3 linked regions of the Notamacropus eugenii genome follow. Each later gene encodes a partner of the first gene's protein in a complex. Links are inferred from orthologs where the notes say so. Each region holds a gene or a part of one and is shown on either strand. Other genes may lie near its edges.

Evidence for each region.
Region 2: CEP290 (region 1) and B9D2 share a complex: the UniProt entries of both Homo sapiens proteins name them as parts of the tectonic-like complex. The link is inferred for Notamacropus eugenii from reciprocal best matches to the Homo sapiens genes CEP290 and B9D2.
Region 3: CEP290 (region 1) and AHI1 share a complex: the UniProt entries of both Homo sapiens proteins name them as parts of the tectonic-like complex. The link is inferred for Notamacropus eugenii from reciprocal best matches to the Homo sapiens genes CEP290 and AHI1.

Annotation. Positions count from the first base shown.
Region 1 is NC_092874.1:270,072,864-270,080,627, forward strand, and holds the start of CEP290 (centrosomal protein of 290 kDa), read right to left. Parts: upstream 3,121-7,764; 5' UTR 2,856-3,120; intron 2,594-2,855; exon of another isoform or gene 2,507-2,593; intron 2,086-2,506; exon of another isoform or gene 2,011-2,085; intron 203-2,010; 5' UTR 175-202; coding exon 79-174; intron 1-78. UniProt on the Homo sapiens protein: Involved in early and late steps in cilia formation. Its association with CCP110 is required for inhibition of primary cilia formation by CCP110.
Region 2 is NC_092876.1:29,864,390-29,871,388, reverse strand, and holds B9D2 (B9 domain-containing protein 2), read right to left. Parts: upstream 3,119-6,999; 5' UTR 2,944-3,118; intron 2,436-2,943; 5' UTR 2,330-2,435; coding exon 2,242-2,329; intron 1,640-2,241; coding exon 1,514-1,639; intron 1,090-1,513; coding exon 776-1,089; 3' UTR 508-775; downstream 1-507. UniProt on the Homo sapiens protein: Component of the tectonic-like complex, a complex localized at the transition zone of primary cilia and acting as a barrier that prevents diffusion of transmembrane proteins between the cilia and plasma membranes.
Region 3 is NC_092873.1:221,567,979-221,574,912, reverse strand, and holds the start of AHI1 (jouberin), read left to right. Parts: upstream 1-3,816; 5' UTR 3,817-4,168; intron 4,169-6,934. UniProt on the Homo sapiens protein: Involved in vesicle trafficking and required for ciliogenesis, formation of primary non-motile cilium, and recruitment of RAB8A to the basal body of primary cilium.

The sequences.
Region 1 (7,764 bases):
GTTCTAACAATTCGGAAGCCCATGACTTTTTAATATATTTTGCTTTATCCATAAATATTTTAACATGTAAAAAAATACCTTAGAGAGAGAAATTAGCAAATCATCAGCCAATTCTTCTTGGCGAGGCAAATCATCTGGGTTAACTCTTCGTATCGTTTTCCAGTCCAAAGGCATCTTGACTTCTTTCACTGTGTCTCTGGACCTGCAACAACATATATTCATCAGCACGTCCATAGTAAACAGAACAACTGATATACAACAGGGTTCCCTAAGAATCCCCCCTGACGGGGTGAAGTTCCACATTATGTTGTTAACCTTACACACAAACAAAAGAAAACAAGAATTGGGCAAAATTCACTAAAACAAAATGAAAAGATCAGCTACAGTTAGTTAGATGCAATCAGGCACAGTGCAAAGAATGCTGGATTTCAAGTTAGAGGATCTGGATTCAAATCCTGACTTTGCCATTGTTGCCTGTGTTACCTCTAGTAAGTCATCTAACCTACCGGGCTTCAATTTCTCATCTTTAAAATAAATAAGTTGGACTAAGTGACTGATCAGATCTTTTCTGACTCTAAATTTATAACCCTCTTTTGTAGGTCTGTACTTAACATCACAGCGATTTGACTCCTAAGTTCCAAAAGGGAAAATCTATGAGTAATGAGAATTATTGGCAAAGAGACAAACTTGATGTTAAGGAAAAACTGTCCAATAATGGGAATTACTATCACAGCAAAAAACAATAATAATAAGGCCAGACTTAGTGATCAATGTAGATTATACAAGAAAATGGTATAGGGAAACACAGCAGAGGCTGTAAAAAGTTTAGCACCCACAGAATACCCAGCAACATGCAACCAGCTGGCTAAAATTATGCATCAGAAATGCACTGTCTTTCATGGATTAACAGACAACAAATCTCCATGTTACATAGACCTCCAAATACCCTAGACAACTCCACAGACCAAAACAGGAATGAACAGTCATCACTGACCATACTGTCCTCTATATAACATCCCAAATATAACACTTATTCATAAAAATGTTTTTAATAGATGGTATCATCACAAATACTCATAATCTCTAAACTACCTGGAACAAAAAACTTTCAAAATATAGAGACCTGGTTTCATCACAATCAAGCGGAAATGGGACTAGGTACATACCATTCCAGCTGTCTTGTTCTCTACTGTTTTTGTACAAATGAAGGTTTTAGGAGGCCTACAGAGCATGTATGTGTCTGTTCGTCCTTTGTTGCCAAAGCAGACCATGCTATCAGAGAAATGATGACATGACTTGCACTTGACTTTGTTTTGAGTGAGGGAGGGCTGTGCAGGTTACCAGCCTCACTTCTCCTCCAGAGCCATCTGAATCCAGTGACCAGATATTCATCAGAATGACTGGAGATGACCCAGGATGAGGCAATTGGGGTTAAGCAACTTGCCCAAGGTCACACAGCTAGTGAATGTATCAAGTGTCTGAGGCAATATTTGAACTCAGTCCTCCTGACTCTTGCACTGGTGCTCTATCCACTGCACCACCTACCTGCCCCGACCTAGAGAGCACTGGGTTGCTAGAAGGACAGAGCACCAAATCTGGAGTCAGGTTGACCTGGGTTCAAGTCTAGCCTCAGACACTTACTAGCTGTGTGACCCTGGGCAAGTCACTTAACCCTGTTTGCCTCAGTTTCCTCATCTGTAAAATGAGCTGAAGAAAGAAACGACAAGCTACTCCAGTATCTGCGCACACAACTGGGGTCATGTGGACAAAACAACAACCTACTATAAAGATGAAAATGGTAATAATGACAATATCAACTCATATGCTTATAGCACTTTAAGGTTGGCAACATGTTTTTACATGTGATCTCACTTGTCCCTCACAACAACCTTGTGAGGTAAGAGTTATTAACAAACCTATTTTACAGATGAAAAAAACGGAGGCTCAGAGCAATATCTTGCAGGATTCGAACCCAAGCCTTTCTAACTTCACCACTCTTTGCATTCCCACCTGTTGCCTGCCTCCAAAAGTTGCCCTAAGGGGCCGTTCCCTTCATTGGAGATCTGTCACAGGTTGGATGACCCCCTGTAAGAAAAGACGTTAAGAGGTATCCTTACCAAATCAAGTCCATAAGTATTCATTAGGTGCCAGGGCACGCTGCTAAAATTTGAGCAAACAAAGCAAAAACAGACCACACCCTCAAGTAGCTCACTCAAGAAGACCTCAAGGCGTCTAATGATGGGGGGGGGGGGGGGGGGGGGGGGGGGGGGTTTAAAGGGAAAGCAGAAGAAAGTAACTATGTTACACACCGGCTACACGAAGGATACATTGTAGCTAACCACGGAGGGGAGGGCACCTCCCCAACCACTTAATGGGGCTGGAAAGGCTTGTAGAAGGTAAGATTTTGGTTGAGAGCACGGAAGAAGCCAGGGGGCAGAGGTGAGGCTGGTGAGAGGTCTGGTCCCCGGAAGAAAGCTCGTGAAAATACACTGGGTCCGATTCTTACCAGTTCTGATGGGTGTGGAAGGGGGTAGGGGTCACTCGCTAAATTAAGAGGTAGCTCCCACAATCCAGGTTATGCATCACTCTGCTCCTGGCAGCAGGAAAAGAAATTACGGATTTAGAGCTAAAAGGAGTCTTCAGAGATGCCCCAACTGCTTTACAGAGGGGGAAACTGAGGCCTAGCGATTCGGGGAGATGCCTGCGGACCTCCCAACCCTCCAGGCTGACTCCTAATCCAGGACTCGGGAAGCAACATCCACCCCTGGCGCACGAGGTGTAAGATCTGGGCAGGGGGCACCTGGAGGAGAGAAGAGAGAGAGAGTCGGGAGGGCTCCCTGGCGCACTGCACTGACCGGTGACAGGAGGTGGCGGAAGGAACAGTCCCGCAGGGCACCCGCCCTCCTGGAGGAGGCTCTGTCCTCTCTCAGCCCGGGCCAGCTCGCCCGCGCCGCGCCTACACAGCGGGTCTACTCGGGAGAGCGGCGGCAGCGGCTGCTAGGCGACCCGAAGGTTTCCCTCCCCCTCGCCCCAGTCTCGTAGATATGTAGAGCGCCACCACCGATCCAGCCCGAAGTCCCGGATGCCGAACTGCTGAACTAGCCTACATTTCACGACCGCTAGGCGATGCTTTACGGCCCCAGCCCTAAGCGAGGTCTCAACGCCACAGGTTGGGATCGGAGATGAACCGAGAACTCCGATTCCCAGAGTGCACCGGGGAATGCGCTGCGCATGACGGGAGATGTAGTTCTGGGCGAGCGCACGGAGGTGTGCAGTTCCCGGCGTGCAGTGCGGCAAGTCTTTGGAGTCTGAGGAGTGTGCGGAACGTCCCTGGCGGGTCTCCGGCGGCGCTCGCTCGCTCTCAGAGGGGCGAGGAGGAGGGTGCAGCGGGACCGGCGTCCAGAGAGGGCTTTTCGCGTCTCCTCAGGCCCTCCGCGGGAGACGGGTAAGGAGCGGCGGGCGCGGGGCCGGGCGGTCGCCCTTTCTCCCTACACAGCCGCGGCCTCCTCCTCTTTTCCTTCATTCTCCCGAGAGCGGGGGGAACATGGGGGAGTAGCGCCCCCCTAACCCAGTCTTCCCCAGCCCCACGCCCTTTTTGACTCTCCTCTAGACTGAGCGAGAAAAGTTTCTTCTGCCTCTACTAACTGGGCGAGGAAATGGGGCCACCTGGTGGAGGGGGAGGGGAGAAGAAACCTCACCCCCGCCCCCTCCCGCACCTCAGTCCCTCCCTTCCTTACTTCTCGCATCCCTGGCGGCTGCCCCCCCACCCCCATCCCTGCCCCCAGGAGCGGACTCTGTACTTTGGGAGATTGTGGATTAATTAGAGTCTGGAAGACCTGAGTTCGAGCCTCCGTGCCCCTGGGCAAGGCAGGTCCGAGAAGATAAATTAAGCCAGACACAAATTATATTATAGCATTTATAAGGTGCTTACTGTGCAGCAGTCACTGTGCCGATCTAAGTCCTGGGCATACACAAATAATAAACAGCCAACGTTTTTATGGCGACTGCCAAGTTCTGGGGATAAAATAACAGCAGCTAGCATTTCCATAGTGCCTACCATGTGCCATATGCTTTACCAGTATGATCTCATTTGATTCTCACAACTCTGGGAGATAGGTGGTATTATCCCCATTTTACAAGTGGGAAAATTCAGTCAAACCCTAGGGTCTTACAGCTTGTAAGTCAGAGGTTGGATTTGAACTCAGGTTTTCGGGAACTGTGAAGATGGACTAGTCACTGTTAAGTGCTAGAGATACAGATAGAAGGAAACAATGTAGTACTTGCCCTCAAACACTTTATATTCTGAAGGAAGAATTTAAAAAAAAAACATAAAAGGGTTTAGGAAGTATGTACATTGCTGCATAATTTGAAAATGGCCTGGAAGAGGCACCTGGAAAGCTGAAAGTCCCAGGGACAGAGTTTAAACTCTGGTAGGAAGGCAGTGAGGCAAAATAAGATAATTTGGGGAGGGAGAATTGGAGAGGGATATTAGCCAGCTACCTTTAGGCAATGGCACTTGTGCTGAACTGTGAAGGAAGCCAAGAGTTCTGGTGAGGACCTACATGCCTGACTTGAGGAGACAACCCTTGCAAAGGCTTGGAGACAGGAAATGGAATTTCTAATACAATAAACAGCAAGCTGGACAGTTTGAGAGGCATGTAGATAATGTGAAGGAGAGAAACGAGCAGTAAGTTTAACACATTGTGAAGGTTTTTAAAAATGAGAATGAGGTTTGGTTTTTGTTTTGTCAATCCAGGCAAAAGGGAGCCATTGGAGCTCCTTGAGCAAGAGAGAATATGGATACACCTGTGCTTTAACAGCTTTGGAGAAGGGAGAGGACTGAACAAGGCTATTGCAATAGTTCAGTCAGTTGGCAGAGAAGTGATGAGAGCCTCAATTAGGCTGTTAACCATGGGAATATAAAAGAAGGGAATTAAAGATACATTGTGAATGGATCAAAGATACATTGTGGCTGTAGCATTAATAAGAGTTGACAGCTGATTGGATGTGTTAGAGAAAGAAGAGCTGAGAACAACTCCAGGGTTATAGAAATGGGCAAGTTAGAAAAAGAGAACAGTGATGGGGGAAGCTAATGAGGGTTGTTTTGGACATGATGAGTTTAAGGTGCCTGTAAAGCACCCACTGGTTATGAGATAGTAGGACTGTTTATATTTGTTTGTAAAAGATCAAATCTGTAAGTCATCAGTGTAGAGGTGATAATTGGAAGCCATTGCGATCATCAAGAGTACAGCAAAAGAAGACAAGAGGGCCCTGAGATATATGCAGGTATAGAAAGTAGGAGAAGAATAATGATCCTGCTGGAGCCTGAAAACCAGAGGAAGAAGATGGCTGTCAGGAGTGTCAGGGAGAGGTCAAAGAGAATGAGGACTGAGAAAAGGAGAGAGGAGTGACTGAGGTAAGAAAGTGTAGGCAATGAATATGGGCAGCCTTTTCTAAGAGTCTTGATGTGAAAGGAGAGCAGAATAGTAAGGCACCTAGGAAGGATGTTGTCAAGTAAAAAAGTGTAAGGATGAGGGAGGTGGGGGCCTATTCATAAGAAATAGGAAAGGAGCCGGTGAATAAGGATTAGTAAATCAAGAAGTATGGGGATGAAGGAAGGATTGAGCTCCAATCAAAATAGCATATGGTGTGTGTAGTGACTATCAGATATGGAACACAGCAGTCTCCAACAAACTGCACTTGAGGTCCACACAGAGAGAAGGCACTGTCATTGTGAGCAGACTATACTATATAACAAATAAGGAGTTTTGAAGAATAACGTAAAGGACAGGTTTCATGAAAAGGGCAAGGGATAACAGTTTGACTAAAGGAAGCAAGGAAGGCCTCTAGCATAAGAATCCATGGATGGGCAAGAGGGACAGGCATGAATTTGCTTCTTTGAAGGGAATGTCCAAAGTGATGACATCATGGATCATTTGAATTTGAGTAAGTGCAGAAAAGAGGGAGGGATAAGTTGTGAAAAGTTTTGGCAGGGAAAGGCTTTCCCAGGAAAGAGTGTCTAGTGTATAATCTATCTTTATACTTGCTTTTTGGCAGTGCTATCTTGAATTTTGTGGCTGTCATTGTCAATGTCAAAAGAAATTCCCTTTGAAAATCATGCTATATTCTTACCAAACTGTAATGAATTTTGTTTTTAATTTATCTAAAACATCTGTGACCAAAAATATTAAATCATTGATGCCATCACTATATAATTTAAAGGAGCATAAGATGCCAAAAGACTAGGAAAAGTAATTGAGAGACTTTTTAATAAAACTTATCCCACTTGAGCTTCATAATCCTGTGCAGTGGGTACTACAGATTATCCATATTTTACCGATAAGGAAGCTGAGATTCAGAGAGGTTAAATGACTTGTCTATGCTATTAAGAATTAGAAGCAGAATTTCAGTCCAGATCAAAATCTTCTGTGTAAGTTTGGCACTCTGTCTGCTAACTTAGATTCCTTCTATATGCCAGAAACTAGGACTGATTATTTTAAACTGATTTTAAAAGACACATAAACATTCATCAGTGCTTTACTTAGTATATAGTACCATCAAATTGTATGTCAGCATAATTATTAGTCAGGTATTTAAATATTATTTATATTGACAATGTTTTCAGTCCTTGATTTTACAGGGGGAATGAAAACCTTGCTTAGAAATTTTGTATTTAAAGCATGGACCTAACTTGGAATTATGAGACCTGAACGCAAGTTCTAATTCAGTATGTTATTTAATCTTGGAAAAATTTAATAAAACTAGCCCTGAACCATTGTCTACATCATTGCCTTCATTTATTTGAGTTAAAGTGAGAGCTTTTGATGTGATCCTTTTAAAAGAAACACTTATCTTAGAGCCTGGTTTCATTTTCTTTCTTTTTTAGGAATTCTTTATCCTATTAAAATATTTAAACAAGAAGGACTTTTCTTTACACCTCTATATTTGTTATCCCCAAGAAACTGCTTAGATTTTTTTAGGAGCTACCCTTGTTCCCTTCTGTCTCCATGTCATTAAAATTGGCACTAGCCCACATTCCCTTGACTAAAATAAATTACAGCCACTTCTAAAATAAATGTAATATACATTGCTAATATCTCTTTAATATCTCTCACAGAGAAATGAGTTTGCTCCATACAGGCCTGTACTTGAAATGATCCTTTTAAATAAATGTAAATTTAGGAGAGAAAACCAGGGCCCTTTGGAAATTGTTTCATGGTAGATACTTTGAAAGATATTGTGTGTACTGAAGATGATTCTCTACATTGATTTATGTAAACTTATTAAGACCAACTACAATGTATTATTGTTTGTATATGAAGATAGTTCTCTACATTTTGTAGTTTTTAAGTCCATGTCTATATTGCCTGATAGCTGTTAATGATATCAAGCTGTGGATTTCAAAATTTACATTATAAAAGATTCAAACTAATCATGAGAGGCTTGATTTTTTAATTTATGTTCCTGCTAACAGGGAATATATTGACAAATTCATAGGAATCAGAGCTAGGAGTAGGGGTTTAATTATCTTAGTCTTTCCTTTTTATTTTACAGTTGAGGAAACTGAGGGGCAGATATGTTATAGGGGAGGTGACTTGCCCAAGAAGAAAAGCAAGACTCACATTTTTATTTCAAAATGAGTATTCTTTTCATTGTACCACCCTCCTTTATTTCTTTGACAAACAGATTGTCTCCTTAGTCACATCCTTTCCTCCTGATTTCCGGAATCTCTCGCCTCCTCTTTGTAGCCAGACTTCTGTCCTT
Region 2 (6,999 bases), on another chromosome or scaffold:
TCACTGAGGACGGCACTGCAGAAAAACTGGAGAAAACACCGCGGCAGGAGGGGGGGACAGAAAATGGAGGAGAAAATAGCCGGGATTATTGGGGTGCTGGGGGCGCTGAAAAGACAGCCTGGCCTCTGGGGGGAATGACCCAAGGAGGGGAGGAAAGGGGAAAGAGCAGAAGGGGAGGGTCACAAGGGGAACATCATCCACCCGGCCCAGAAGGAGTCCAGGAAGTGGGTCTAAGAAGGCCCTGCAATGGCTGGACCCCGGGCTCCAGGTCCCTGGAAGTAGGCGCTTTTCACTTTAGGGACCTAGGTGTCCCCATTTTCCAAAGAGTGGAATGAACTAGATGGCATCCAGGGTCTCTAAGACTCCCTTGAACTCGGACATTTTGGGGCTCAGTCACTCAACCAGGGCATCCCTGGGCTCAGTTTCCCCCTCTGGTGAAACAAGGGGTTGGACTCAGGTCTGACAGTAAGGAAGGGATAGAAATGAGATGTTTGTACTCTGTCGGAATCTTGTATAGACCAATTCATATATTTCTTTACATGAAATCGCCCCCATTGACATGGATGCCCCAGGACAGAGCCATGTTGCTCCTTCTTGGTACCCCAAGGCTTTCTTAGGGCAGTACCTGGCACATAATAAAAGTTCAGTAAGAGTTGGTTGATTGATTGCTGAGGCCAGGAGCCCGGGGACAGACAGAAAAGAGGAGGGGAGGGAAGGAAGTGAGATGGAGAATTGGGGGATGGAGGGATAAGGGCTTGGGAGCTGGCCGAGGTGCTCAGCACTCAACCCCATATCGGGAAAAGTTTCTCAGGATCAGGGCCAGCTCCAGGTGCACGGTGCCCCCTGCTGCTGTGTGGAGCCGGTATCGGTCGGCCCCGCTGTAGACTACATCACTGTGTAGCAGCTGGGGCCCACCACCCACGAAGGCCCGAGCCAACTGCTCCCGCCAGCCACCCAAGGGGCGCCATGTCACACAGTCAAGGCTATGGATGCCGGGGCTGCTGGGAATGTGGGAAAAGCCATAGCCGGACAACTGGCAGCGGCCAAAGACGTCCTGAGACCACACTTGCAAGTGGAGCCGAGGCCAGCCTGGGGAGAGGAGAGGGTCTACCTCAGTCTTCTGCTGGCCAAGTCTGCCCTTCTTCCCAAGGCTTGGGTTTCTGTCTTCCTTCCCTGATTTTGTTCAGGCTCCTGTAGCCACTCCCAGTCCCCCAAAGGCATTCTGCCATCTTAAGCTGCTCCCGCCAACCACTGATGCCCATATTCTGACCAGGAGCACCCACAAATGACAGATCTGTCAGGTCTAATAAACAACACAGACCATCTCTGAGTCTCTTTTGTCTTTCTCTTCAACCTTCCCAGTCTCTGGGGGTCCAGGTGGGATTCCCCAACCCCAGGGTCCAGCCTGAAGGACTACTAGGTGCCCTGAACTGGACAGAGCCTCATCTCCCTGTCCAATTGGAGCAGTCCCTTCCCAGCTCACTTACTCAGAGCCTGGGACCCCTGCCCTTACCCTGTAGGCCTTTGGTGGCAAAATGCAGGTCAATTGGGTGAGACCAGTAGGCCATGCTACCCAGCTGAGGGGTGTCCACTTGTGTCTGGCCTTCCCGAACACCGGACAGCAGTTTCCATGCTCCTCCTGCCAGTCAGGAAAGGAAAGGGTCACTGAGGGGAGGGAGGGAGGGACTAGAAGAAGGGATTCTGTTGGGTTAGAGGGAGGGGCCGCTATGGCACTGGAAAGAGCCCTGGGCTCAAGTCCTGGTCCCATCAGTGACCTAATTAGACTTTGGCTTCTTCTACTGTAAAAAGAGCTTCCTGGCTGAAATCTCTAGGTCCCTTTCTGCCTCTATAATTCCAAATCTAGTCTAGCCAAAAAGAAGGGCAGTAAGTTCCATGTAGGACGAAAACCTTCCTCATATCCCCACACTCCCACCCCCCACTAAAGACTCTCACAGTCCCCAAGGAAAGAAGGAAAGGAGGGGGGTCTAGGCCTCTTTGGAGTTGAAGGATCTCCCACCCACCCATTAAGTGGGCAAAGACTCTGCTGTGGAGATACAATTTGGGGTACAGGTCCTGAAGAATCAGGAGGAAGACCTCAGGACTTTCCCCTTCTGTTCCACACTCTCTCCAGCTGAGTGCACAAGGAAGGTCAAGGGTCAAGTTCCCCGGGGGTGGGGGGAAGGTATAGAGGACTCCCCAGAGATGTGAACAGATGAGGCCATGCTATCCCCACATACTTACCAGTATGGACACCCCACTTGCAGAAGAGGCTGTTCTCAGAAAAACCTGTTGCCCCAATGATCTGCCCAATGACATGGACCTCAGCCATGGCCCAGTGGAGAGGAGAGATGTCAGAAGACTACAAAGAATGAAGTTCAGCAGCGACCAAACTGCTGCCTGACCTTGGACATGTCTCTGGGCCTCAGTTTCCTCATCTGTAAAATGAGCACATCATGATTTCAATTGAGTGGATAGAACAGTGCACCCAAAGTCTTGAAGATCTGGGTTCAAATCCAGCCTCAGACACTTAGTAGCTGAGTGACCCTGGACAAGTCACAACCTCTGCCTCAGTTTCCTCAACTTCAAAATGGGGATAATAATAGCACAGACTTTCCATGGTTGTTCTGAGGTTCAATTAGATAATATCTGTAAAGCAAGCGCTTTGCAAAACTTAAAACGATATATACGTACGTATACATGTAGGCATATGCGCTATTAGCTACAGACTCGGTAACTCCGCCCATCTCCATAGCTCCTCCCCTTAGGGCTTATAACTCCGCCCCCTCCTTCCAAATAGACATGCGCAGTATCCCCGGAGCGAGGCAAAACGCTCATGACTCCAGCCTCTGCGCAGGCGCTGTTTCTCTGGCAAGCACAACTGTACAGGAACACGTACTCGCGTCTCTCGGCGCCCGACCCTCGCCTCCCCTACCCCTCATTTACCCGAGAAACCTGAAGATTTCGGGACCGTCAGCAGGGTGAACGGCTTCCGGGGCCTGCTCCGGCCGTTGCTCTGGCAACAGAAGCTCGCGGTCTTCTCTGCGCACCATTCGTGCACGCCTTCGCGTCGCTGATTGGTCGTCGGAGAGGAAATGGGACCAGTAGGTATCTCTCGCCTTCCCCTCGCACGCCGCTGATTGGGCCTCAGATAGAATGGGGCGGGGCGATAATGAAAGAGCTCCCTTTCCCTTTGTGTGTGCCCGCCCAGCACACTGCTGATTGGTCCTTTCGGAAGGCGATTCCTTCCAAGATCCCTTGCGCCCACCCCATTGTTGGGCGCTGATTGGTCTGCGGTTCAGGAGCTGGGAAGAGACTATGTCTAACAGGCTCTAGTTCATAAAACGTTCTAGCCGGGAGTGGGTGGGGGTGGAATAGAGTGACCGCGTGCCATGTTAAGTGTGGCAGGTGGGCTTAAGCATGCGGCCATGTTGAGTGTGTCCCTCACCTTCCTTCCACCTTCTTATTCCGTACAACCAAGAGGAAAACCCTGTCCTGCCACTCTCGGTAAAACCACTTTCTTCCCGCATAGCACCTGTCAGTCCTGCTGAAAACTGCCTTCTTCTCAGTGCAGCCACCCCCAGAAATCCCATCCATTTCAGGCCTCTTATAAAGTGCTTGAGGCTACAAGGTCAAAAAGAAAGCAATCCCTGAAGCAATATTTGGCTGGAGCTGGGAAGTGATCAATCGGCATACATTTATTAAGTGTCTGCCGTGTTCCAGGCAGTGAGGAAGGACAAAAATGAGGCAAGGACATTACATTCTGCTGAGGGATTACACATGTGCACAGACAGATGGTGTAGAGGGATGGATGGAAGGATGGGTGGATGGATGGATGGACGGATGGATGGATGGATGGACGGATGGTTGGATGGGTGGATGGATGGATGGATGGATGGATGGATGGATGGATGGATGGATGGATAAATTAGATATGAATGGATAGATATAAGTATATAGAGGATGAGATAGATAAATGTGGATGGATGGATGAAGGTAGATCATAGATATGGATATGGATAGATGGATAAATTAGATAGATATAAATGGAGAGGTGATATAGATAGATATGTAGGTGTGGATGGATAATTAAATTAGATGATGGATGGGTGATATCTATAGATGTGGATGGATGAATATAGGTATTTGGGTGAAATAGATAAATGTGGATGGATGGTGTAAGACAGATGAAAACACAGCACACTTGAGGGCTGCTAGCACAGGTTCACTCTTGATTTGGTCAGACAGGAAAGACACTAAAAAGGGGTTAATAATCTTACTTTATTCTAGTCTAGTTCTTTCTGAAGAAGTTGCTGATAGTAAGAGCACAAACTCCTACAGCATTCACTAATCACCCTTCTCACAGGGGCTGGTGAGAAGCGGGGGCAACTACTCCTATGTCTCTATGGGGTCAATCGGGACAGGCACAACTTGTGCGTCCCCTAAATCCCCAAGCCTCAGTGGGGGCCAGTTGAGACAAACACAGATTCCCTCCAAACCTTGATGGGGTCTGATCAAGGCACACACAGCATTCCAGCTTGTGCATTCAACACTAAGGGTTACCCATTCACTATCTAGTGACCACCTGTTTTATAGGCCAGCAGACAAAGAAGGCAGATTGCCAGTAGCAGCCTCACAAGTTTCCATCGCCCCATCCCTGTATCTCACTGTGCAGCCGCAGTGGATGTTTATGTTATTCACCATTATATAACCATGCGCAAGCGTGGTGGAGACACTTCGAACCATAACTGTGGGACTCATATCTAGTACCTGGGAACCAGAGATTGTTATGGCTATGGATCCTGGGAAACTGACTCTGAGAAATAATTACAAAAATTCACTTTACACACACTAAAATTCACCTTACATACAGATGGATAGATTAGATAGATATAAATAGAGAGAGGCAATATCAATAGAAAGATAAATAGATATGTAGGTGTGGATGGATAAATAAATCGGAGATGGATGGATGGATGGGTGATATCTATAGATGTGTGTTCGTCCTTCGGTGCCAAAGAAGACCATGCCATCAGAAAAATAATGACATGACTTGCACTTGACTTTTGTTTTTTGAGTGAGGGAGGGCTGTACAGGTCACAAGCCTCACTTCTCCTCCAGAGCCATCTGAATCTAATGACCAGATATTCATCAGGATGACTGGAGATGACCCAGGATGAGGCATTTGGGGTTAAGTGACTTGCCCAAGGTGAATGTCCAGTGTCTGAGGTGAGATTTGAACTCAGGTCCTCCTGACTCCTGTACTGGTGCTCTATCCACTGCACCACCTAGCTGCCCCTTATCTATAGATCGATGTGGATGGATGGATGAATAGATTAGATAGATATAGAGAGAGGTGATATCGTTAGAAAGATAGTTATGTAGGTGTGGATGGATAAACACATTGGAGATAGGTCAATAGCTATGTCACCTCTGTCTGAAGCAGCCTGTTTCAGCCAACACTTATTGTTTTCCTGCAGTCTTTTAATGCTAGAATGGCCTCTGGGCATTTAATTGGAAGGCAGTTTCCTGAGGTTATCTAATGTCACACCATATAGGGACTTTTTCAAAGAAGGCCATGGTGCTTGGCCTGGAGAACAAGAGGCCTAAGCAAGAGTCCAGCACAGCAGGAAGGAAGAGATGGCACCTGTCAGAGGAAGAAGGGACTTTGTAAGTAATTCAAGAAGCCTGGGGAGCTTCCTGAGCTGGCTAACAGATGGAGATTACTTGACCCTGAATCACCTGGGTCTGAAATGGGATGAAGGTGATTGGCTTCTCCCTTCCCTTCATCTTAAAACCACTTCCCCTGACGCAAGAGAAGGGTGGGGGAATTTCACACTAGCTGCCCCATAATTCTCATTCTGTATCTTTCACTTTTCGGTTTAGATTATGCAAAGTCCTTTCACCTGTACAAGAGTTGAATAATCCCTGGAAGTTGCTGCTGCCCATGGATGCTGGGGCTAGAGCCATCTCGTAGCATGTGCATTGGCATAGAAACTCTCATAGTTTTCGGCTAGACAGACACCCCTCAAGGGATGTGGAAGATGGACACTGACAAGGCTGTCTTGTCCCTCCATGTGCCCAATGCTGAAAAGAATCCAGCTGAGCAGAGCCGGAGACAGCTGGGGCTTGAGCTTGCTCAGTTCCCCGTAGGCTCATGTCCACTGCTGATGTCAGTCCACCCATGCACAATTACTCTAACTCTCAGCTCAGGCTCGCAGGTTCCACCTGCTGGCTGGCTCAGATATAACATCCAGAGTCTCCTGTGTTAGTGCCAGGATGGAAGAGCCAGATGCCCCAATGGTAGATACATGCTCTTTACATATAAAAAGGAAATAACATATGAGATGGGCAGAGGGATGGTGATAAATGCTGGGGAAAATTTTGTTGACCTAAAAAAACCCAAAATTTAAAAAAAAACTTTGAAGAGGGAAAGGCCCCTGGGCTGTGCCTGCATACAAGTTGGGGAGTCAGGCAGGCAGAGGGGAGGCAGGGATGCATTCCAAGCACAAGAGACACCGTGAGAAGATGAAAGAGCACCTCCCATGCTGAGGAATGAGCCAGTTTGACTAGAAAGTAGAATGAAAAAGAGTAAGGGTCAGTAAGTGTGGAAAAGTAGACTGGAGACAGTTTATAAATGCTAGGCTGGGAGAGAACGCACAGGGGCTGTTATGTAGCAGAGAGAATAGAGGTGTTCTCTTTGGTCTGGAGAAGTTGAGGAAACTGAGGCAGGTAGACATTAAGGTACTTGCTCAGGATCACACAGTCATTGAGTATCTGAGCACAGATTTTAACTCAGGTCCCCTTGCCTCTTGGCTCAGCACTCAATCCACTGAGCTACCTCAGCTCAAGGCCCAGAGTAATAGATGAGGTTGCAAAAAGGCAAAGTAAGTTGAGGCTTGTTTTCAGGACAAACTTCCTACTGATTAGAATTCTCCAGACATGAAATATGCCTCCTTGAGAGGCGATAGATACTGGATGACCAATGGTCAAGTACGTTAG
Region 3 (6,934 bases), on another chromosome or scaffold:
CCACAGAATTTATCTTGGTTATGCTCATTTCAGTCTGCTTTAGTGCATATAGTATCTTTCCTTTTGTAATTTCTTATGGTTCTATGTATCCCATTAAATTCATATAACATAATTTGTTCAGCCAATCTCCAAGGGATTTGGCATCTTTTTAGTTACAGTATTGTTGCTAAAACTAAAAGAATTACTACAAAATACTTCTCTGTGTGTGGATCTTTTCCCTCTTTCTTTGATCTCCTTGGGGGTATCACTTTGGGATCTAAAAGCAGAATCAAATAGTGAGTCAAATAGCATGCACAATTAGTTTAGTGACTTTTGGAATATAGTTACAATCACTTTGTGGAATGCTGGACAGATCTGTAGTTTTACCAACTATGCATTAGTATGCTTGTCTTTCTCAGAGTCTCCCTATCATCATCATTTTGCTTTCCTTCCCCCCATTTTTACCAATCTCTTGAATGTGAGGTGGGAAATCAGAGTTGTTTTAATTTGCATTTCTCTGATTATTAGTGATTTAGAGTGTTTTTTTATAATGGCTGTGATTTATAAATTTTTTTTCTTTAGGAAGCTAATTTATAGCTCATTCAATTTATTTTTTCGAATCAGGATTATCTAAATCCTCTATTTCTTCTTCTATAAATCTAGATATTTTATAAATTTGTAGATAGTAATCTATTTCATTTTAATTATCAAGTTTTATTGGCATAAAATTAGAGGTAACCAGTGGTTCAATCTTATTTGCATAAGAGCTCTCCTCATTGATGGAGAATTACTTTGTGTCTTATAGAGGGGCATCACTGTTGAGCACTTGCTTGAAGAGAGGTACTTGTAGTGGCTTCCAGTTTTGACAGAGGAGATACATGGTAATAGAATTTTCTTCAGAAAAATGTCTCTGAAGGGAGGGAAAGAATCTGGGGAAAAGCTGACATAAAAGATCTGGCACCTTAACAGTATTTCTTTATTGATATTAATTTTTTCTGCCTTACTTTCTGAACTCAGCCCTAACTTCTGAATGTGCCAGGTCAGCTGTGAAGAAATAATGGTGCTTTGTTTGGCCCAGATCAGTATCACCTAGGGTCTTTCTAATGCTTCCTCCAAATACTGAGCTGCATGTTCTTCAAGGACCTTGGGTGGCTCAGGCTAGTAAATTGCTGACTTTCAGAGCTTTTTCTTCAGGCTCTGGCCAGGTCTAACTATTGCCTTCTAGATCTGAGCTTTGCAGACTCCTGACCCAGTTCTGGGATCACACCTACACACCTATAGAATCCAAGTGTTTGTAACTCTCCCCTAGGGGTATATATCTGCAGGCTAAATTTTTCCCTAGCTCTCCCCTCCTCAACTGATGACATGTTTCTGTGGACTTCATTCATGAACCTGGAATTTTTGACTGGACCCCATGCATAGTTTCCAGCCTACACAATCAAAGTCTCTAGGTTTTCCCCAGTTCAGCCTTGATCTACATGCTGGAAGCTTTCTTGTGCTATGCTACATAGTTGTTTATTCCCCCCTGACTGGACTTTACTAGTAACCATAATCTGGTTCTATCTTTTCATTATGCCCCTCCCTGTCCCCACTTTAGCATTCTCTTCAGACTTACCAGGCAATTAGTCAACAAACAAATAATTTAAGTGCCTAGTATTTCTAGGAACTGTGCTACAAGCTGTACATAAGTACAAAAGATAAAGCATTTCCTGGTTGCAATGATCTTACATTCTAATGAAGAGACAAAAAGTACATATAAAATAAATACACAGTATAAAGATTAAATAAATACAAATACAATAAGATACAATACAAAGTAATTAAATACAAGGTAGTTTGGGAGGAAAAGCACTAGGAGTTGAGACCAGGAAAGTATTTATATAGAAGATAGTACCTGAGCTGCATCTTAAATGGGTGTTGGTTAGGAGGGAATCACTGGAGAAAGAAATGGCAAACCACTCCAGAATCATTGCCAAGAAGACCTCTTGAACAGTATTAGCTTGCTATGGTCCATGTGGTCATGAAGAGTCAGGCATGAGTGAGTAAACAAGCAAGGACAGAATGCATTCTAGGAAGATGGGAGATGGGAGTGGGGAGCAAAGAGAAAGCCAGTTTGATTGTGTCGCAGTTATGGTAGGGGAAGTAATGTCCATTGAGGCTGCAAAGAGGTTGAGGCCCAGTTATATGGAGTGAGAAAAGCTAAATAAAAGGTCATCTTAGAGGCAATAGGAAGTCATTGGAACTGGCTGAGCAGGGGAATCATATGGTGAAATCTGTGCTTAAAGAACAATATTTTAGCATCAGTTAGGAGGCTGTTGGAATCATTTAGGTGAGATGAGAGCTTGGAGAAAGTTGGCAACTGTGTGAGTGGAGAGAAGGGCTTGAATGTCAGAGGTGTTAAGGTAGAAAGAACAAAATTTGGCACCTTATTACATGTGGTATGAGCCAGGGTGAGATAATGCTAAGATTATGAACCTAACACATTGGAAGAATTATGGTGCCTTCAACAGTAATTGGTAAGTTTGGAAGAGGGGAGGGTTTAGGGAAAGGGTTCTTTACCTTTTTTGTTTCAGTTCTCTTTAGAAGTTTAGTGAAGCTTATATACCCCTTCACTTTTTACTTGCCTAGCTGCTTCTTCTCAGTCTCTTTTACTTTTTTTTTCATTCTGGTCATGTGTACTAACTCTTGTGTATCCCCCAAGTTTTTGTTATTATCTTTCCCTCTCCAAACTTTCCCCTTCCTGATCTTTCCTATTACTATAAATCTTCCTGTTCACCTAGGCTCTCAACTTAGGTATCACCTTCAACTCCTGTCTTTTTTTGTACCCCATTGTATGGCATAGTGCCAGGAACACAGCAAGTGCTTAATACATGCTTGTTGACTTCTCACAACATTTTTTTGAAAGGATAAAATACATAGGATTACAAAGAAAACTAATTATATTGAAATAATTAACAAAAAAATGAATAATTCCTGGTTTGGAGGGGAAAATGAATTCAGTTTTAGACCTATAGAGTTTAAGAATTTTTCAGGATGTCCACTTTGAAATATTCGCTAGACAATTTAATGATGCAGGATTGAAGCACAGGGGAGACTGAGGCTAAATATGCACATTTAGGAGTCATCAGCATAGAGGTCATAGTGAAATCCACAGCAGGTGATGAGGTTATCGATAGAGTATGTTGGTTCAATGGTTGTTCCACATATTCAATATTCCCTTTTTTGCCTTTGAACTGTGAATACACAACAACTTCACCTAGGTCTCTTAGAAATCTTAATTTTCTCCAGCTTAGTTTTAGTGCTGCCTCATAGGAGAGGCCCTTCTAGATTCCCTGTTGGCCAGTTATTATTCTCCCACCAAAAAATTATGTCCTATATATTTTATATTGATTTATAGAGCTACGTTTTATTTTACCCTATTGTAAGAAAGCTCCTTGAGGGCAGCCCCTTACATGTACTAAGTCCTTAAAAAAATACTTGAAGAAGTGAATGATCTTTCCAAATCAATTAATAACAGCTGAAAAGGACACGGGGCTAAGCCTGATGAAAGGAAGAACTTTCTAAGGTTAAAGCAGGGATATTTTACTCGTCTATTTTGATAACTTTCCTACATTCTAATGTATGCCTTTTATTTTATGCATTCAAAACCAGGACTCTGAGAAGAGTTTCATCTGACTGCCCTACGGGTCAAGGACTGATAAAAGGGTAGTATTAGAGATGAATTTGGGCAGTCCCTAAATATTCTGAGTAGGCTCCGCCCCTCTTCCACTTAAGGGGAGGGGCACGCAGGCCGGCAGACCAATCCGGGCTCTCTGAGGCGCCCCAGCCAGCGCCGTTGCTATTGGCTGGAGCTCTGGAGGAAACAGGAGGGGAGGGCCCCCTCCTACCTCTTCGGTTGCTATCGGCAACGGAGCGCCGCGGTAACTGACGTAAACGCCTCGCTCCGCTCAGCTCTAGACTCCGGTCCTCCTCCCTCTCCCTCCCCGTCCCACCTCTAATCCCTTTCGTCTCCACCCCCTTCCCAGCCCTAGCCGCCGGTTTCAGCAGGGAGCCGGTGGCCTTCTCCTTCCCGCCGGGCAGAGCTAGGCGCTAGCGCTTCTCCCTTCCGTTGGTTAGGTCGGTCAGCCGGCGTCGATTTAGGGAAAAGGACGGAGGCCAGCCGCTTCCCCGGGCTGCGCGTCCCCTCCTGGTGAGTCGGCTGCTCTCCGGGCTGTCAGCCGCTGACTTTTCCGGCCTGCGGCGACCATGGCTAACTTGGGTTTGTCCGGGCCGCTCCTGCGTGGGTGTGCGCGTGCGCGCTTGCGTACTTGAGTGTGTACCTTAGCCTCGCGCTGGCGGTACGTGGCTGCTGCTGCCGACGTGCCCCTCGCCTGCCCACCCCCACCGCCCGCGCTGCGCGTCCCCGGGGGTGCGTGCGCCTTTGCCCAGGCCCGTGGTGGCTACCACCGCGCTGCTGCACGTGTCTGTGCCCACGCGAGGCGCCAGGGGGCGAGAATTGACTTCGAGAACTCACGGTTGATTAGTATTTCGGACTCTTGACCACCAGAATCTCACGGGTTTTCTGATTCCGGAGGGAGGGATCCCAGAGCCCACCTAAATTATCCAGCCTGTACTAGCAGAACATTTCCAGATATTGGCAACATTTCGTCGTGGTGTTGGCTTCGGGGGTGGGGGGGAGGGGGGAGTATTTTGTCGCACACGTTTTGTTTTTCTTTCCCTTTTTTGCATATTTTGTTACACGAGTTTTTTCCTTTTTGTGTGTGCACACTTTGTTACACAGGTTTGGTTTGGTTTTGCTTTTGATGGAGTTAGAAATCCAAGACAAATAAAGTAAAAAAATATGCTGCAGTCTGCTTTTGGAGATCATCTGTACTCTGGCATTTTGTCGTGAATCATTGTATTGATCTGAGCAACTAAGTAATTCATAGTTGCTCATTGTTACAATATAACTGTTCCTGGATACAATGTTCTGACTTCACTTTGCTTGAAGATCTGAATTCACATGTGACCTCAGACACTTACTAGCTGTGTGATCCTGGGCAAGTCACTTAACCTCTATTTACTTCAGTTCTTTATCTATCAAATGAGGTAACACTGGAGAACACCCCATAGATAAAAGTCCATGGGGTCACTTAGAGTCAGACATGATTGAATGGCTGAACTACAACAACAGTGGTGTTGCTGGTATGCAGTTTTATACCCCTTTGAGTGTAGTTCCAAATTGTTCTGCAAAAAGGCTGAACCAGTTAACAACTCCACCAGCAGTGCATTAGTGTCTCAATTTATCCATATCCCCTTCTGCATTTGTTATTTTCCTTTTATGTTATCTTATACATACAGCCTGATAGCTGAGAGGTTGTGCTTCAGAGTTGTTTTAATTTGCATTTCTGGTGATTTAGAACATTTTTTATGTGACTGTTTATAGCTTTGATTTCTTCTTCTGAAAACTACCTGTTCATATCCTTTGACCATTTATCAACTGGGGAATGGCTCTTATTTTTGTAAGTTTGGTTCAGTTCTCTATATATTTGAGAAATGAGGTTTATATCAGAGAAATTTTGTTGTAAAATCTGCACACACACACACAGAGTTTTCTTTTTTCCTTCTAATTTTGGCTGCATTAGTTTTGTTTGTACAAAAGTTTTTAATTTAATGTAATCAAATTACTCAGTTTATTTCCTGTGATCCTCTGTATGTGTTGTTTGGTCATGAAGTCTTCCTTTAGCCATATATCTGATAGGTACGTTTTTTTCATGCTCTCTGATTTACTTATATTACCCTTTATGTCTAAATCATTTATCTATTTTTGACTTTATCTTGGTAGATGTTGTGTGATGTTGGCCTATGCCTTATTTCCTCCAAGCTGCTTTCCAGTTTTCCTAGCAATTTTTGTCAAATATTGAGTTCTTACTTCAAAAGCCTGGATCTTTGCCTTTATTAAACGCTAGTTTGCCATGGTCTATTCCACTGACCTACCATTCTATTCCTTAGCCAGTACCAGATTGTTTTGATAATTACTGCTTTGTAATATAGTTTGAAATGTGGAACTGCTAGGTTGCCTTTCTTCACATTTTTTTTCATTCATTCCCTTGACATTCTTGACTTGTTCTTCCATGTGGATTATGTTATTATTTTTTCTAATTTTATCAAATAATTTTTTTTGATAATTTGATTGCTATGGCACCGAATAAATTACTTGTGATAGAATCATTATTTTTATTATATTGGCTCTACCTGTCCATGAGCAGTTAATATTTCTCCCACCATTAAGATCTTCCTTTATTTGTGTGAAGTGTTTTGTAATTTTGTTCATATAGTCCCTGGGTTTATCCCGGCAGGTAGCCTCCCACATATTTTATTTTGTCTGCAGTTATTTTAGAAAAGACATATGCAGACAGATAGGAAGTACCAGAATAGACCAATATGTAGAGAGAAAAGAGTACCCAGGAGAAGAGGGTGATTAACTGTTAAAAGTTATAGAGAAGTCAAGCATGGTCAGCTGAAGCAAATAGATTATGCTCCAGCCCCTTATTTTATCTGTGTGTGCGTGTGTATGTGTATTTCCCTGTTTCAAGCAACATATAAGTAACATATTATTGTATTCTGGTTTCTAATCCTTCTGCTATCTGCTTCCATTTTATAAATGAGTTCATTCCATTCATATTCACAGTTATAATTACTGTGTATTTCCCTTCATCCTATTTTCTGTTTATTCTTCTCTTTACCCTATCCGTCCTCTAAAGTCTGTTTTGCTTCTGATAACTGCCTTCTTTCATCTGCCTACCCTTTTGTCATCCCCCTACCCCTTCCCATAGTCTTTTTTTCTCCTACTTTCCTGTTGAGTAAGATAAACTTATATTACCACTTGAGTATCTCTTCCACATTGTGACTTTCCCCATTGTGGTTTTTGATATATCGAGTCAGTATAAGAAATTAAATGGGAATTTTGGGGGAG